Coturnix japonica: one gene and its partners. The protein of the gene in region 1 purifies or fractionates together with the protein of each later gene. This does not show direct contact. Links are inferred from orthologs where the notes say so. Each region holds a gene or a part of one and is shown on either strand. Other genes may lie near its edges. The genes, in order: SMAD1, RUNX2 and SKI.

Region 1 (5,743 bases):
GAGCCTCAGCACCGGGTTAGGTGTTACCATCATACCACCAAATCACACCCAAGTCTCTTACTGGATACCAGCGGTTGGGGACACCTGGGAGGCTCTGAAACTCCAGGCAGTTCTCTCCTCAGCCTCCCCACAACTCCTTGCAACTGGTTTTTATCCAACCTAGCTAATGGAGAAAAACCTCACTTGAATTCAGGTGTAACACTGTAGTCCGCAGACAGACTAAAGCACACCAACTGCAATGATTTCCAAGCTTGTGTTTTTAAGCTGGATAGCAAGGATGCACCCCTTCTAGCACCGTGAAAACATAAAAGCATTTGTGAGACCAATTTCCCAACTGAAAGCACTACATGATGTTATCTATTTGAGGATTTACCGTTAATCCACTCTTCAGAACTTACACAAACACCAGCCACGTGACAACTAACAGGAAAGTGAACAGAGCACACTGATCCCATCCCAGGCAGCGCCCTACAGAGCAGCTCCTGAGGAGCTGGGTCTGTTTGAGGCAGTTAAGCACTGACCAAGCTGGCAGGCAGAGCCAGGATATCACAATATACTTGTACAGCCTGCACAGTGACCATCACACACTCTCTCGAGCTTCTAGCTTCATTTAGTCAAGTATAATTCCAATCCTCCTGGCTGTGATAACCTTGGAAACACAAGTCTCGATATCTGCTTGGAAACAGTGACTCATGTGTGAATTCCCCCAATCCATTAATCTCAAAGCATAAGCACTTAGGAAGCAATAATGGTGTTTTAATGTCCAGGCAAAAATGGGGAAAAACAGTTAGCCAAGTTTGAGAGCGACTGTCAGGAACTGAAGCTGAGAGTGACACTCTGGGGACAAACAACAGGGAAGGGAAAGGAAGAGATACTGTAACTTATGAAGTGCACATCTCTAGGCCAAATGGCAGCTCAGTTACCACCTGCTCCCAAAAGCCACGTATTCCAAATTTATCTCCATGCAATATCCCTCAAAACAATGATTGATCTACAGCGTTAATTAAGTAGAAAAACCTCCTTCACAAACCCAGCCAGAGACCTCAGTAAAAACTTAAGGCTTTGACCCCACTCTGGCATTGTGGAACTTTGGAAAAGTTCTTAAGATGAGACCCCAACATACACACAACTTTATACCTGCAGCCCCACGACTCATTAGGCAGAAGGCAGCTCCTGCTCAACACTCCCCTCCAGTAAATTTCAGCTGGTCAGAGCAGCACATCGATCTTCCGGTGGATGAAATCCTTTCATCAGCTCTGTCAAGGCCATTCCAGCCCTGATGTAAACAAGCAAACTGCCCAGTTGCTTACTAAGGTGATAACCAGAAGTACTTAGTTTTTCCTGAGGGGCACTGGCTGAGCAGCGGGAAATATTTCATTGCTACCATCTCCAAACTGATTAAGTCACTCTTTGTTTTCTCCCCAGCACAAACTACACAAACTCTGGAAATTTGTATTTTACCCTAAAACAGCAGGAATCCCAAATTCAAAAAATAACATTTTGCTGGTTCCCAACTACAAAATGTAGAAGGTGACTCAGGGCCCAAAACCACTTTCCAACCACTTGGGCTACCTAACAGTACTCAGCACATTTTAGTTAGACATCTTTTGAAAGTTCTATTCTATTTTTACCATGCAGATCTCAGTGAAGTGACAGGACACTTACAAATATAGTCTTAAATATGGCATAAATGATAAGAATTAGAATGTTCTCAGACTTGGTAACTGCTTCCAAGACGAAAGGGAAATGAGCTGTAACACATCACTTGGTGTTACCATGACAGCAAGAGCCCAACTGCTGCTCACTCTGACCGAACTAGATGTGCTTTGGGAATCTTAGTTTTCAGTACTTTGGAACACTGAACATACACACCAGGTGCAGACACATGCAGAAAACTAGTAATACAAACTATTTATTTTATTGTCCCACTTCTGCTCAACACACAACCCTTAACATTTGTTAAAACTCCTCTTTTTTTCTTCCTCCAGTGCAGTGTTTAAGCTTTTTGTTTAAGCATCTGCTGCATAAAAGCCATATTTTATGGATATCACACACACGATTTCCAAACTAATACTAACACACCAAAGGGAAATATTTGCCATCTAGATATACGCTACGTGTTGCAATTCCAAGATAAATGCTATTTCCATTCACAGGAAAATAATCAGGTAACAACGTCATTTCCACTGCAGTTCTTAAGCAATCCATGCCACTCTGCAGAAACAGCTCCGCAGTTTACAAAGTGCCTAACACAGGCAGATTTCCTAAATTTAAACCAGAAAAGCCCTCTCACACCTGCAGTGCATTTTCTGCAGATGTCCCTGTACAACCTCACAAGTAACTAGAGACCAGTGGAGACATGTTTACGCACATTTCATCTTAGTCCCTGGAAATATTCTGAAAACAAACTCACACAAGCAAATCAAGCACAGATTTACTAAAAGCGGGTTGGGCCCTTGAAGAGGAGACAGAGAACAGGCTGCACTTGTTAAAGCGTGGAAGTGGGTAATGGGTAAACACATTCCACTTGCAGAACAACTAAAGGTAAAACATCATGTACAAAATAAACCCCACTATCAAAGCTCCAGGTTGAGAGGGTATATTCCGTGTCTGAAAAAAAAAAATAAAAAGCAACCAAAACCTCAGACTTCAAAGGCCAAAGCTGAAGGCAACCTTAAAGACCGTAGTATCTTCTGAAGGGTGAAGGAAAAGAAGTGATAGAAGTGAAATAATAACAGTAAGATCATATCAGAAAGTTTTTCACCCACTAAACGCAGTTACCCTTCCTGTTAGCTTGCAACATTTCATACATGCTCAAACTGCGCTGTTCAGTAAAAATATAAAAAAATAAAATGAACTGAGGGATAGTGGCCACCAACAAAACCAGGAGGCAAGAGATCCAGCAACTTAAGGCACACACAGACAGTATGCTGCTGCACAGTGACAAAATGCATTTATATATGGCAAGTATTCACCCTGTGAAAGGGAGAACTGCGAATCAATGCTTATATCCAGACAGATTGCAAAGTACAAATCTGACGTGTGCAAACAGCGACTACTGCTTACTTAAGCTGATGAGTCACATGATTAACTGCCACACTTTGCATTGTTTAGATAAGGCGCAAAGGTACAAACAAGGAAGAACCTACCAGGACTTTCTACCCGCTTGTAGTGGTAAGGATTGATGCAGACCTCCTTCTGTTTAGAACCAAAAGGAAACTCGCAGCATTCCAGTGGTTTCAGTTCATGATGGCTTTGCAGGTCTGGCCAGCGCCACACTCTGCAGTAAATTACATGTGGCAGCCCTTTCCGGTGTGAAACCTGAAGCCGGCCATCCAAGGACCGAGGAATTGTGACACAGTTGCTGGGCTGACCAGGACAGCTTAATGCTTTCTCCAGTTCTTCCATAGCACCTTTTTTCTTCTTCAGTTTTTTCACTAGTGCATCAACAGCCTTCTCCGCCCATTTTTCTTCTTCATCCCCCTGCTTCCACCCCAACAGCCTCTTCACTGCCGGGCTGGTGAAGGAAAACAAACTTGTCACGTTCATGGTGACCTCACTTGGTCACACTGGATACCACAGACCAAGCAGGAGAGACTGTCCTGTTCTTCCACCGCAGCCGCACTGCAGATTTTAATCAGTAGTCAAAAGCAGTCTGCCCAAATATTGTGGTGCTTCTGCTATTTCAGTCCTCCCGTCCCAGGACGGCCATGCTGACAGTTCCCCTTGACAGATGTGGCCTTCTCATCTTGCTAAAGCCTTCCGGCTGAGAACCTGCAGGAGAAGAGCGAAAAAGGAAAACAGATTTCACTTTGTCAATTAACCACCAGCAGTCAGAAACATTCCACCCCACAGGGCCAGGGTGACCAAAACCCAACCGATCAACAACAACAAAAAAACCGCCACCACAAAGTGTCAGCAGTCTCAACATCAGACTGAAGGAACAGCCTGACAAGGACCTTTAAATAGCAGAGCATGCTGGTAAAGTCTTTATACTCTTGCTACCAAAACAGTCCTAAATAAATGAGGGGATTGCCCTGAAAAACAGTGGCACTGCATAAACAAAACAGAACAAAATGGTTGAAGGGAGTTAGAGAGAAGCAGGAAGGAAGTGCAAAGGTAGGGAAACTTAGAAGGTAGGACAACTATCCCTCTGCTCAGTTCCCGCCCGCATCCAATACGCGATATAGCCTCAGTGATTTTTGTGCCATGTAGCAAGGGCAACTGCATTTGCCAACTTCAAATAATGTTCCTGCTCACAGCCCAAGTGTAGCCTAAAACAGCCCCCCATTTTTTATCTTTCACCGCTAAGTGAAAAGTACACTCCCCACAGCCTATCAGCTTGGCAACTTCACACAGCAAAACGTCCCAATAAACTCATACAGGATGAAATCAAACCAAAACTTTTGGTTTTGATTTCCAAGTGAAGGTGGAAGCAACATACCTCAACAGCACTGCACTACCCAGATCTCTACAAGCAATACGATTTGAGAATAACTGCATGGGATCTGCGCATATCACAATCTGTGACAAACTGTTCAGCTTCACCTGAGTTAGTCTGAGTGACAAACCAAAAGCAGAACAGGAAACTAGAAAGATCTGTGCCCTCATTCAGCTCCCCACGAGAAAGCAAAGCTCTGTCTTCCTAACCCACTAAAAAGCCCTCACCTAAACAGAATGAAAGGGAAAGACATCACTGACTACATCCTGACCCCTCCCTTCACAGTGCCAGCCTGATGTGCTCAAAGACACATGAAGGAGCAGGAAGGAGGAAGAACTGATAAGAGGGTTTGAGGTAGTACTGTGATCTTCAGGTTGGGAGGTGTGAAACAGCAATGAAGCAATGGGTGAAGGGAGGAGTAGAACTCTGCATGCAGAGAAATCCCCATTACAGGGTCTTCTGCAAGCAGCGGGCTTCACGTTTACTCAGGTTATGAGCAAACAAGAGACTCACCTCTGCCACAAGGAACAAGGAGATAAGGAGCACTAAAACAGAAGCATTCAAATTAAGTATGAAGACAGACAGGAAATGTATCCCAGAGCAGATACCGAGAGGTTGCAGAGGAAGAGGGAAGAGGAAAAGGATAGAAATGTTTTTGTTACCATCAGAAACACCAAAAAACAAAACAAAACAAACAAACAAACAAAAAACACAGAACAACCCACCACAAAAAATCCATACGCTGCCCATACACAGACAGGTTAGAAGGTATCAGAGCAGCCATGAGCCTGAATTGCAAGTTTATAATCAAAAATAATTATGGATCTTGAAATTTTAATTGCTAAGCCACACTTATGCTCCTAACTGTCATAACTGTAATTTCATTGCGTACCTCTACACTTAGAGTACTTCAAGCTGAAAACCATCCACTTGATTCAAATAAGTTGTCACTAAAATAATTATCTAATTGCAAAGGTTCCATTTTATTAGGTCAAATGTATAAACTACATTTATGTGAATAATGATCTTAAACTAAGACAAAGACTGCATCCACCTGCGCTTCATCCTGGTACTTTCCATTCATTTATTCTGAGACTTCTACTTGAAATAATAATGTCAGTGCAATGGGAGAAATGCATAAGCCTGGGGCAAATTTAACAATAGATTTTCTTACCTGAGCATAAGCCATACTGGCAACTGAACTAAAACTCCATTACTGTCACTGACTGCACTCCAGGTATATTTTATCCTTACATACATTCAAAAGTGCTGTACTAAAATGCTGTTTTATTTCAACAATTT
Region 2 (6,493 bases), on another chromosome or scaffold:
TCGCGCCCCCCGAGCACCACAAGCGACCTATGCACCCACGCCGCCATCTTGTTCGGCATCTTACCCCTAGCGTCGCTAAATATGCCTGACCCGCACCGCGGCCCGGGGCTGCAGCGCCAGGTTCCCTGCTCTCTGCTGTGTGGCCTTTCCTACCCCCCCCCTGCCTTGCAGCCTCGCTGGTTTCGCCAGCCCGGTGTGTTTCTCTTGCTGCGGTCGCGTCCGGTTGGCAGGGTGGGTGTTTGGTGGTTGTCCGGTCCGGGGGAAAGAGGGCTGTGTGAAGGGCGGGCGGGCCCGGGAATTGGTGGTGGGCGCGTGGAGCAGGAGGAGGTTGGCCTGCACTGAGATTATATGAGCTACTTTGTGTTAAGATGGGGCTGGCCGGATGAGGTCGGTCTGTGTGCCTGGGGCGGCGACACTTTGTTTACATGGGTATGTAAAATTGTTTTAAATAAGATTTCTGCCCTTTTTGATTTTTAATTTTATTTTTTTTTAAAGGGAGAAAACAAACCCGCCTGCCTTTACCTTAACGGGGGGGGTGGGGGGGGGGGGGGATGCTGCATAGATGTTTTCATTCATTCAAGAAATTAGATCTTTAGTATACCGGAGTTCTTAGCACAACCTTGGCCACCTGACTCTCTCTCTTGAATATATGGCAAAACAGACTTTTTCTTTTCTTTTACAAATCAATCAACCAAACAAACCAACCCCAAAGTGTTAATGGAAAAAACCCGGAGCGGCAAACTTGACGCGCATCGCCCCCCCCCCCCCCCCCCTCTTGACCCCCCCTCCTTTCCTCGGCCCGGCCCCCTCCCCGCGGCTGCGGGCGGCTCCAGGCGAGGGCTCTCCTCCTTGGGGGGGGGGGGTTGGAGCGGGGTGGGTTGTGGGGGGGGATGCACATTGTTGTATTTATTTTGAAGGCTGCAGAAGGCTGAGGAGCGCAGCACCACGTGCTGCTGACTCTCATCAGCATAATGATGGCCCCAGCCGGAGAGCCCCGTATATATAAACCACAAACCCCCTAATCATTAGAAGTCCCAGCCTCCAAAAGAAAAAAAAAAACCGCATTCAGGACAAAAAAAAAGACTGCGGAGTTTTTTTTTTCTTCTTGTTTTTCTTTTTTTTTTCTTTTCCTGCGTGTTGTTTTTTCTCCCCCCTCTCGGCTCCTCCGCCTCCCCGCACGCAGCTCTTCGGCACCCGAAAGAACTTTTGTTGCTTTTCGCCTTTTATTTTTTTAATATATTCTTTATCGTTCTCGACCGACGCGATTTTTCGGAGAGCGGAGCGTAACTCCCGCAAAGCGACACCTGAATGACTGCTGAGACAGTGACTTTTTTTTTGCCTGCTGCTGTTCATCGAGAAAAGGGGGGAAAAAAAAAACCAAACAACCGCCCCCCTAAAAATTAACCCCACCAAACCAAACGAGCGATTCCAGTTACCCGGTTCGGCTCCCCGGACTCGGATCCAGCAGCGACTCAATTAACCGGACCGGACCGCACCGAAGCTGCCTTTCCCCACCGTTTCCTCGGGCATAGTTTCGGAATCAGCCCGCACAGGGCTGCTCCGGGGGGGGGGGGTTCTTCTCTTTTTTGCCCCCTCCCGACGATGCTGCCGTTTGGAAGCCGGGCGCCGGACTCGCCCTGAGCCCCGATCTTCGTCCCGGGCCGCTCCCGGCGCTCAGCCCCGCACCGCTCCTCGCACCGCAGCCCCGGCACGGCGCTAAGGCTTCGCTCCCTTTTTCTTCGCCGTTTGTTTGGCCGGAGGAGGAGGAAGAATTCTTCGGAGGAAACCGGGACGTTTCCCCTTCGCTCATTGCGAGTGACGCTCCTCTTGAAGCGGCGAGCACAGCCGGCTGCCTTCGCCCCCTCTTCAAGCCCGAAAAGCGGACGGGAAGGGAGAGGAAGGAAAAAGGAGAGAAAGTCGCGCGGCGCTGAGAGCAGGAGCGGCGGCTGGAAGCGGGGAAGGACGGACGGACGGACGGAGGAGAAGCGGCTCCGGGCAGGGACGCGCTGCGGGACGGAGCCGCAGCGCCGGGCGTAGCTGAGGGCAGCGCAGCCCCGAGCGAACGAACGACAACAGACTGAGATCTGGGGCTTTTTTTTTAATTCTTTTTGTGCCGTTGTGTTGTTTTTTTTTTCCTTGCTTTTTTCTTTTTTTTTTTTTCCCCCCGATTTTTTTCCCCCCCCCCTCCCCGCCCCCCCGCCCCCCAATTCGCTAACTTGTGGCTGTTGTGATGCGTATCCCCGTAGATCCCAGCACCAGCCGGCGCTTCACCCCCCCCTCCAGCAGCCTGCAGCCCGGCAAGATGAGCGAGGTCAGCCCGGTCGTAGTGGCCCAACAGCAGCAGCAGCAGCAACAGCAACAGCAGCAAGAAGCCGCCGTGCCCCGGCTGCGGCCGCACGATAACCGCACCATGGTGGAGATCATCGCGGACCACCCCGGGGAGCTGGTGCGCACCGACAGCCCCAACTTCCTGTGCTCCGTGCTGCCCTCCCACTGGCGCTGCAACAAGACGCTGCCCGTCGCCTTCAAGGTGAGCGCTTCTCCCCCCCGCGCTGACAGCGGCCGCTCGCCCCCCCTTCCCCATCACCTCCGCCCGCAGGCGTTGCGGTGTTCGCCCCCACCAGCCCGCAATGCCCGCCGTGCCCCCCCCCCCCCGGTAGTGCCTCCCGCGATGACTTCTGAGCCCCTCTCATCCCATCGTTCCTTGTGCCCCCACCCCCCCTCCATTCCTCTGTGCTGCCCCCTCCCCGCCCCAATCCTCTTGATGCCTCCCGCCCCCTCCGCCCGCCTCACTGAGCTCTGAGCCCATACACTGACTTTCTGTGCACCCGCGCACTGACTTCTGTGCCCCCCCCACTTACCCCCCCGCCCTCCGCCAATGATCTCCGTGTTTCCCACCCTCCCCGTGCTGCAGTAACTGTTCGTGTGCCCCCCTCTCGTTTTGCACGGACTTCTGTTGCAGACCTCATCCTGCACTGACTTCTGTGACCCCCAGTCCTACAAAGTTTCCTGTGCACCCCGGGCTTTCTTTGACTTCTGTGTCTCTCCCCCTTTCAGCCCCCTCCCGCCCCCCCATCCTGCACCGTGCATCCCCTCATCCTGCAATGAGTTCTGTGCCCCCTCTGTCCTACACTGACTTCTGTGCCCCCCCATTCCGCAACAGCTCCTATGCGTGTGCCCATTCCTGCCTTGAGTCTTTTGCTTCTCCATCCTACAGCGACTTCTTGTGCCCCTACAGTGCCTCCTGTGCCCCCATCCCGTGCTGCATTGCCTCCTGTGCCCCCCATCTGCACTGATTTCTGTGTCCCTTCTGCACAGTGTGTGTGTCCCAAGGCTCCGTAGGGTCTTCCGTGCCACCCTCGGTGCTCCAGTTCCTCCTGCCCCCCCCCCCCCCGTCCTGGCGTTGCCTCACATACCCCCATCCTTCTGTCTGCCATGCCCCCGCATCCCACTGTGCATCCTGAGCCCTCTCTGCCCTGCAGTGCTCCCTGTTTCCTCTCTGTCCCATAGAACATCCTTACCCCCTCTCTGCAGACCCTCTCATGCCCTCCCATCCTGCAGGGCACGCTGTGCCCCCCCCGTGCTGCAGTGTGTGCTGTGCCACCGAACCCTCCCAACCTCTGGGATCAGTCATGTTATTTCTATTCCCTTAAAGCATTGCCCCCCTCTGGGCTCCCCCCGTCCCTGTGCCACCACCACAGCACCCCACTGAGCCTCTTAGCAGCTTTCCTTTAAAAAAAGAAGTTTTCTTATAACGAGATTCATCCATCTGCAAGAGCTCAGTGCAGGGATGCAGAACGGGTGCTGCCTCCAAACCTTCCCTGAGGGGCACCCCCAAAATCCCAGCCTCGTGTCCCAGCTCCTGGAGCTGGGGAGGGGGCGCACATGGGTTTAGTGCAGGGATTGGGGTCCTGATGGGGGAACCCACTCACTTCTCCTGGCCTCCACGGAGTGGTTGGGGGGGGTGTTAAGATTCTCATTTTCTGCCTCCATCCCCGCGCACGCTGATGAGAGGAAAACGTTTATTAAAAGCTGCAGTAGCAGCCCCGGCTGTGTGCTGTGTTCTGCAGCCCTCCGTCCTCCCCACAGCCCTGCACGGCTGCACTGAGCCCCCCAACCATGTCCTAAGGCCGGCAGCACTTGCCTGCAGTGGCTCACGGGCACAGCCTGGGAGCAGCCCTGCACCCCAGTGCTGCCAGAACGACCCCTTGGGTTGTGTTTTCTGCATGCCAGCCACGCTATCTTTGTTTTGTCGGGGAAATAAAATGGGTCAAAACAGCTGAAAGAGCTGGTTTTGGTGTGTCTGGCCATAAAGGCGGTGTGCTGCTGGCACTTTGCTATCAGAGGGAGTAGAGATGAAGGCAGAGGGGCAGAGACCTGCTGGGTCTGTAGCTGCAGTTACCCTGCATAGGGCCTGCCTTGTGCTTGGGTGGAAATAGCAGAAAGTGGGGTGTGTTCTGCCACTGGGTCTGCGGGTGCTGTGGGGCCTATGGGGTGCCACCAGGTTACAGGGTGCCACTAGGTTATGGGGTGCCTCCAGTCTGTGAGGCTCAGGTCAGAGCTTGGCTCTGATTCCTGGCGTGAGGAGTTGTCTCCCAGGATCGCAGTTGTGATTAATTTGCTTGTAGGTGAGCTCAGTGTTGTAGTTCCTTCCTATAGAAGTAACGTGAGGGCTCTGTGTTATTGCTTCTGTATTTCTGCTTCCGTTTGAAAAGGCTGAGCGTGCCCCTGCCCTGCAGCCACCCAGAGCGTGCGGTCCCAGCTCACTGCAGGGAGGCAGTGGGGCTCAGCTGAGTGGTATTTAGGATGTTATTCCAGTACATGTGATAAAAGGACTTACAAAGAGCGAGAGCAAAGAGCGAGAGCGCATCCCAGCGTGTTTGTGCTCATAGGTTCTGATATTTGGGTGGTGTGTGGGGCTGCAGGCAGGTGTGGATGCGGGAGGTTTATCGATGTGCTGAGTTGTCCCTTCAGCTCTGAGCTGTCACACGCAGCATATAAGATGCTCTTAAAACACGCCGTGTCTGGATGCCCTTGTTTCCTGGTGGAGGCTGACAGGGCCACACTGTGTGCAGCCAAGGCAGAAGGTGTGAGCAAGGAGCAGAAGTACCATACAGCAACAGGCGCTGATAAGACTTTCTGCATAGCAAAATGATGGTTGGGACCCATCGGACAGGTTTTAAACTTGAATCTCATTTATCAGTGCAGCTTTCCTGCAGCTGCCCGCTGCTTTCAGACCGAAGAAGCTGCAGTGAAACACTTGATGCGATACAGCAGAATGGCAATTATCTCTAAAACACTGCAAAAAAGAGACAGATTTGGGCTATAGGAATCTCAGCGAGGCAGAAACTTGAAAGTAAAATGGCTCACAGACAACAGAGTTTTTGAAGTTTTATTGGCAATAAATAATATGTTGATGATAATGTTTTGAGTGGTGCGTTAAGTGTGCCATAATTCTCTCGCAGAGCTCTCCAGTTAAAAAGTGCTCTGGATGTAGCACTGTTTTAATTTAAAAGAGAAAGAAGTTAGATATAAATCACACGCGGGGAAGGAAGTGTGCAATAAACAGCGCTGGGTTTGATTATCATTTTGTGAAATAACGTTGGCTGAGCGTCACGTTTGAATTTTCAGTATTAATATTTACACGCTGCGGGGAGAGAGTCTGCGTGGGGCTCACGGACCAGGTGGTGAGGTTGGCTGTGCAAACTGTGCCTGCTGGTGCTGCTCTGACCACGCTGCAGTGCCCGGGCAGCAGAGCAATGGGCACTGTGCTCCGTGCACCCAATTCTGTTCCCTTTGTGATGTGTAAGAGCCTTTTGTTGGCTGCAGCCATCGGGATTTGGCTCTCTGTTGACTCTGGGAGTTCTATCTGAAAGGCCATGAAGACCCACCCTGCTGGGTGTTGGGGTGGCTGTAAGGTTGCAGTGCCTTATTGGGGTGGCTGTAAGGATGCAGTGCCCTGCTGGGTGTTTGGGTGGCTGTAAGGTTGCAGTGCTTTATTGGGATTTGCTGTAAGGTTGCAGTGCTTTACTGGAGTGGCTGTAAGGTTGCAGTGCCTTACTGGGGTGGCTGTACGGTTAGCAGTGCCCTGCTGGGTGTTGGGGTGGCTGTAAGGTTGCAGTGCCTTATTGGGGGTGGCTGTAATGCTGGGTGTTGGGGTGGCTGTAATATTGCAGTGCTTTATTGGGGTGGCTGTAAGGATGCAGTGCCTTATTGGGGTGGCTGTAAGGTTGCAGTGCTTTACTGGGGTGGCTGTAAGTTTGCAGTGCCTTATTGGTGTGGCTGTAAGGATGCAGTGCCTTATTGGGGTGGCTGTAAGGATGCAGTGCCCTGCTGGCTGTTGGGGTGGCTGCTGGCTGTGATCCCACCCAGTGCTGATAACAGCAGAGCACTGCAGTGGGCAGAAGGAAAGCAGAACAGCCATGAGGTGTGAGACCTCTCCCAGTAGCACAGCAGTAGTTCAGGGGCTGTCAGCATTTCCACTCCAAACCCC
Region 3 (6,540 bases), on another chromosome or scaffold:
AAGACCGCAGCACACGAATAGGAGCCGAGAAGACAACTTAAAAGCCTGGAAACTCCAAGGCATCCTGCACAGGATGTGTGCTATCCTGTCATCTGAGCACACACACACACACACACACCACGCCATCCTTCCCACTCCCAAGTGAGCCTACACAGCAGACTTTTAACATCTTCTCGTCTAATTTTTGGCACCCGCTGTCAGGTACTATCAGGTATTATCAGGTATCCTGAAGTCACTCTCCGAGATGTGGTTGCAAACACATTTTGGAGGGTGAGGTGAAAGAGTGTTTGCCATGCTCTGAGCTCGGACTGATAGTTGGGGATCACCAAACGAGTAAAGCAAAGCCAAAACTTTGCAGTCCTGTCTTGTTCTCCACCTGCCCCCTCACCTGGGGGCACAGCAGAGCAGCGCCGTAAGAGCCCGGTAAGAAAAGGAATGCGGACCTTTAAAAGCGTTCATTTAAATCACACTGTGGAAATGACCAACCCAGGCACACAACCCCCTCCCAGAAGGAAGAAAGTGGGGATTCTTTTCTTTAGTTTCCCAGAGCACGCCCAAGGAAATTCAGCCCGTCTCCGCTGCCGGAGCCCTTTTCTCCTCTCGCAGACATTCATGCGCATCTTCCCCAGCATCCCCTTAGCACATGACTGACGGAGAATAGACAAGCCATTAAAAACACATCCACCTCCAGCCACGGAGATAATGGGGCTCATTACAACCCCGCTTTGTCACAGCGGCTCTGACACTCCGACAGGAGGAAAGGGGGGGGGGGGGTGAGGACGAGGACCGAAATGGGGGCTAGGGGGGGCTGAACACCTCCTCGCTTTGCTTTTTGCTTTTTAACTTAAGCCATATGCAGCCTGAGCGTTTATCTGCACGTTTAAACAGGTATTTGGGAAGTTAACCGAGAATTTCACCTAACGCTCTCAGAAAGCTTGAAAAGTTCCTGTTCTTTTGTGATTGCCCCTCCACTGCGGACATAAAACCGAAGAAAACTTCCAAGAACTGTGATGGAGGAGGCAGAATCTGCCCCCAAACCTGCAGGCCAGGCTGCTCTGCTTTGATTTTACCTTCCTCGTGGGGGGGGGCTGAGAAGGGGCAGAAGCTGCCTCCCCCCTTCCCCTCCCCCCCCGGTGCCCACCCACGGCCCCTTCGCCCACACAGAGGGAATGGTGGGGTCTGCAGGCAGCCCAGGCTGCAAGGAAAACACAGGGCACCTGAAAAACGCTGTCTGGCCTCAGGACAGCAGGGCACAACGCAACGAGCTGCTGCATCTGGCCCTTCAGATCCATTTACGTACACATAATCCGATATACAAAAGCCTGTCTTGCTGGGGAGAGCCAGACTCCGCTGGGATCCCCTAAAAGCACAGAGCTCGCTCCCGTTCTGCACTCCAATGAACACCAGTAACCTGCATTACATTCTCAGCGGCCACGTTTTATTCCAGCTCAGCCCCTGCCTCCATCCCTGGGGGCACGCAGTTGAGGAGAAAATCGTCTGCATTCGTGTCTGGGGCCATCAGAGTTATTTTCCCCTCCTTTCTTTCCCATCTTGACCTCCAAGCGAAGCTCCCGGCGCCCCAAATCACTTCCTGCTCAAGTGGGGCAGCGTGATGGGTTTCAAAGATCAGGTTCTGTGTACAATACGATACACAAACACATACAGCAGAATCAAACTCCAGCTCCCGAGCTCAGCACAAAACCAGAGGAAAAAGGGGAAAAAAAAGGAGCCATGTCGAACGCTGCTCGTCTACATGAACGCACACGTGGTGAGAATTAAGAACGCGATTAGATTGCTAAACGACTCTAAAAGGAAAACGGTTGGTAACAAATTGAGTACATCTATGGACGTCATCGAAAATCCCTTTTCTCTCTTTCTTCACCCTGGCTCCTTCTTAAAATAAGAATTTAAGGCATCACTTACCCTGGGGGCTTTCCTCTTGTATTTGTTGTTATAGTCAAATTTTTCTTTCATTTCATCTAAGAGCTGGCCCAGCCGAGCTTTCTCCTCTTTCCCAGTGTAATCCTGGCTGAGGAGGATGTAGGACCTCCAGTTTGCAGAGTCAAAGCCCCAATGGCAAGTCCTGTTTTCCAGGGATTTGTGAGAGTGGACCACAAATTTGTGAGGCGGGTACATGAGCCTGCAGTCCAAGCACTGGATGCAGGCTGCGCTGGGGTTACTGTAAAGCTCTGGTACCAGGAGTCCCTTACACTTCCCAAAGCACTCATGGTACACCTTGAAGCTCTTCTCTGTAAGCTCCAGCTCAATCGTGCTAGAGAATTCCTTCTTGCAGTGGGGAGGATAGGTGCCACCATAAAGCAAGGCGTTGCAAAGCCTCTCAGCGTCAGTTTTAGTGATCAGCCCGCACGAGGGGGCAGAGAAGGGCAAGATGCCCATGACTTTGAGGATCTCCAGCTGGTCAGCGGTGCACCTGGAGCAGTAAATGTGGAGCTCGTCGCACACCGAGTTGATCTGCTGCAGGGAGAAGTCCCTGAGCACCGAGTTCAGGATCTGGGGCAAGCAAAGGCGCTTTTCCCCACCCACCACGAAGCAGGAGATGGTTTCCCCTTCCAGGATGGTCTCGCACCTCTCAGTGGATCTGTCCGAGGGCATGAAGAAGGGACCAGGCATCACCGGGGGGGGCTGGATGGGGGGCAGATGCAGTACAGGTTCCGCGGGGTCTTTGCCATTGTCTTTCTTGTACATCTCCTGTGCCCATCGCGCTGAGAAAGCAGCAGGGCCACCCAGGGAGCTCATAGAGCTCAGATGAAACTGTTCCAAGGTCTTCTGCAGTCCTGGATGAGGCTGGAAGCTGCTTCTACTTACAGTCTCCATTTTTTAGTTTCTATTCCCAAAAACAAACAACAAAAAAATCCCCAATTATCTTCCACGCTGGTACAAATCCACTTAAGGGATTTTTTTCTTTTCTTTAAACAAAACAACAACCCACCCTTGTTGGTTTTTTTTCCCCCTTCCCACTCCGGTTTAACAATCCACAGTCGGCGAGGAAATAAATCCTTTTCGTTGGCGTTTCTTTCTCCTTTCTGTTCTCTCGCTCCGTCACAATCTCTCACCGTGCCCGGCCCGGCCGGAGCGCAGAGTCAAACCGAAGCCAGGTCTTCATCCGAGCACTGCCAGCCCCGGAACGCCGCTCCGAGCCGCGCTCCGGGCACCTCGGGTTAAATAAGAGCTGTTGGCTGCTGCTTCTCTGCAGCGATCCCGCTTGTGTCCATATCCACCAGGAGGAAGGAAAGTAAAAAGCAGGAGGAGGAAGGCGGCTCGGTGCGGGGAAGGGAGCGAGGCGGAATAGAATTAAAGGCCCCGATCTCCGACACTTCCGAAGCGGCGCTGCGGGCTGCCTGCCCCGAGCGCTCCGTTCGCTCGATCCGGCTCCCCGACGCCTCGCTCCCCTTTTCTTTCTTCCTTTCTTTTCTTCCTCTCGCTCTCAACGTGCCGTGGGGAGCCGCGCTAACATCCTCCCAGCTCCTCTTTCCAGCAGAGACTGAGAGTGCCTGAGAGCTGAGCTAATGCGGGCTGGCTCAGCCTCCCTCACTCCTCCTCCTCCTCCCCCCCGACTCTGTTTGTTGGTGTCTGCCTCAGTCATTGAATCCCGGCCAAGAATGTGACCAACTCCCCAGGCCGGGCTCTTCCAGGAACATCGGCCGCCTCCCCCCTCCTGCTCGGGCAGGCGCAGCTCGTTCAGCCCCGGGGGGAGGGAGAGAGGCTGGGTTCATAGAGCGGAGCGTCGCGAAGGAGGGGCGGCAGGGCTGGTGGGGGCTCGGCGTTTTATTTCTGGACGACAGTGAAAGAAATAAGGGAACAAACAGCACCTCGTGTACCCAACACCTGAACCGAACCGCTGCTAAACCTGCGAGCACCTGGTGTGGAGCACACACGGAATAACTGCAGCCCAACGGGGACCGACAGCCGGGACCCCGAGCAAGCGGAGCTGCGGGTGATGCAGCTCCGGGTGATGCAGCCGCTGCATCAAATGGCGGCGCCCGGAGGAACGTGGACGGGCCGAACCTGCGGCTCCGTGCAGGGAACGGCACCCCCTGGTGGCAGCTCCCCACCCGCCTGTCTGCCCTTCGGAACGGCTGGAGAGTTCGGAAAATACAGATACAAAACACGAGCCCCACAGCTCAGAGCTTTATCAGCGAGTCTAACGCAAAAAGAAGACGCTGGAAAGCTCTGCATACACACAACTAAGATATTAATGATGCAAGAGAGACTTGATGCGCTGCTCATAGTGCCTTGTGATGCAGAGACATTTGGTCTCTTCTGGAAGTTCACCACTATGGTATAAACGAAGATAAACCACAGTACAATAAAAAAGTGAAGCAAATCCAAACAGCTCCAAGAGCAAACAAACCCTCACCAAACCAAACAGGCTGAGGTTCAGCCAGGATCGATGCGGGCAGGGATCGCACCGAGTTCAGACGCTGTTTGTGTTTCTGTGCTCTGAAGTTCGAGCAGTCAAAGGGAAAAAGGCCTCACAGCTCAGCACAGAGCAGCACTTGGAGGCACCACTCATGCACCAGCTGTGTCCTCACACCCCAAGTCCAGAGAACTCCATGCTGCTGTTTGCACACAACAGCAGATCCCCCTGAGCCCATTAGGGATGTGGCATCCAAACAGGCTGCCAGCAAAAGAAGAGTTCACTACAGCACCAGATTCCTGCCTTAGATGGATTTAATTCTGCTTCATGCTTTTTTTTTTTGATGTTTTAAACTCTCTGAAATATAAACACGCAGACAGACTCAAACATCAAGTATAGATAATCCAATTTTGTTAAGAGCAAAATTGTCGTTTGCTGGAAGTCTGCTTAGTAATGGAAAAGCCTCTTAGTTCTGGATGCTGGGTTTTTTTTGCACTCCTTTTCCTTTACTCTTTGGGAATAAAGGACAGCAATAACCACAGCTCGTTTTAGGTGTTTGGTTGTTGTGTTTTTTTCCTTCCAAATGACTCTTTAATGTAAGTAAATTACTGGATTGGGCAACAGATGAGTGATTAACTCATGAGTGTGATCCATCAATGGAATTCCTGAAGCAGAGGGGACTACCAAAAAGACAGGAAGGATGGTCTGGTGGTTAAGACTAAACTCAGGACATCTGGGGTCCATTCCCAGATCTCCCACAGATTTCCTGTAGCCTTGGGCAAGTCGTTCAGTTCCTGCGTGCCTCAGTTTCTATGTCTGCTGTACTCAGATAGGAACTGATTAGAAGAGCAGCTTCTGAAATGAACTTCATGATGTGACAGAAACCAGTTTGCAACCCAGCTTGTATTTCCCTGTACCTACAGACTGCACAGAACTACACAACAGCGGGGCAGAAGGGGGAGCAAGGAGCACCAGGGATTAAGGTGGCAACACTTTCTGAAGCCTCTGCCACCCCAATGATGGACTGTGAATGCTGAGCATCTTAAGATCCTATTAATCTCTTCCCCAGTAACTGTTTGTCTTGCTTCAGTTCCAAAGCCCTCTAGCTGAAGAAAGGAGAAGGGAAAAAATATCTCGGAGGAAGGGCCCCAGCACCACACTGTTTTTCTCACTCTCTCCCTCTTCTCCTCCCCCTCTCCATTGGCTTCAAGGCCAACAGCTCCTGGAACACAAACACTCTTGTAAACTTCTGAACCACACAGCCCTGTGGTGGGTGGGTGTTTGCTCCCTGCCTGCCAGTTCCAATCCACCCACAGATTCCAAAGGCCCAGAACAAAAAGCAGATTCCATTTTCCATATTTAACAGGCAGTTCATTTCCCCCCACACCTCCTCATTGCCTTCATTTTGAAGAACTCAGTGCCTCTCACAAGTATCTTGTCCCACCCTCTACGTGTTGTCAGAGTACACTGCAGCACGGTTATGTGTATTTTTTACACGCTCACGTGAAAAGCTCAGTCAGGAAAACCCAAGGAATATAGAGAACCACATTGCAAATTGCAACTGTTGACAAAATGTTTGGGAAGAGTCAATTGGAAAGAAGAAAAGAAAGTAAAAAATGAAAGCATCCATGCAAATGTGACGCACCGAAATTCCTACAGTCTTACATTAGATGGTAAACTCATAACAGCAAGTATCTGTTATAACATCTCCCCATGTTTGGATGGTACATACTTATTTCTAACTACGACACACAGCTACTGAAGTAAGACCATTCCTGTGCAGCTGGGTCCCACCATTTTCTAGGTAAACCTTGGATTGCTGCACAACAAAATCCTCTCAATTTGACTAACGTTCTGATGGCTTATTTATAACATATATTGCAAGGGAAGACAATGACATTACTTTCTACCAAGATACAAACACATTCATTAAGGTATTCATCAGAACATGGTTTAAATAATGCACAAACAAGTGACTTACCTTTTGTGAAGGTCAGCAGAGTCTCCAGAAGGGGCAACCTCTAGACAAAGACTCTACTCCCTCAGCTGCTAACCCCTAAATGAGAGTGAGGAGGGGTGGACCCAGAGTTCGTTGCTTGCACCTGTGTGCCCTGGCTTAGCCACACCTTTTCACCTGGTGCTAATCACTGCTTCAAGCTGTG

Evidence for each region.
Region 2: the proteins of SMAD1 (region 1) and RUNX2 purify together in Homo sapiens (affinity purification with western blotting; 3 studies listed by BioGRID). This does not show direct contact. The link is inferred for Coturnix japonica from reciprocal best matches to the Homo sapiens genes SMAD1 and RUNX2.
Region 3: the proteins of SMAD1 (region 1) and SKI purify together in Homo sapiens (affinity purification with western blotting, with the first as the bait; 3 studies listed by BioGRID). This does not show direct contact. The link is inferred for Coturnix japonica from reciprocal best matches to the Homo sapiens genes SMAD1 and SKI.

Annotation. Positions count from the first base shown.
Region 1 is NC_029519.1:27,357,108-27,362,850, reverse strand, and holds part of SMAD1 (mothers against decapentaplegic homolog 1), read right to left. Parts: intron 3,775-5,743; 5' UTR 3,550-3,774; coding exon 3,150-3,549; intron 1-3,149. UniProt on the Homo sapiens protein: Transcriptional modulator that plays a role in various cellular processes, including embryonic development, cell differentiation, and tissue homeostasis.
Region 2 is NC_029518.1:99,720,921-99,727,413, forward strand, and holds the start of RUNX2 (runt-related transcription factor 2), read left to right. Parts: upstream 1-2,199; 5' UTR 2,200-2,230; coding exon 2,231-2,530; intron 2,531-6,493. UniProt on the Homo sapiens protein: Transcription factor involved in osteoblastic differentiation and skeletal morphogenesis. Essential for the maturation of osteoblasts and both intramembranous and endochondral ossification.
Region 3 is NC_029536.1:1,498,818-1,505,357, forward strand, and holds the start of SKI (ski oncogene), read right to left. Parts: upstream 4,013-6,540; 5' UTR 2,951-4,012; exon of another isoform or gene 2,846-2,950; 5' UTR 2,836-2,845; coding exon 1,924-2,835; intron 1-1,923. UniProt on the Homo sapiens protein: May play a role in terminal differentiation of skeletal muscle cells but not in the determination of cells to the myogenic lineage. Functions as a repressor of TGF-beta signaling.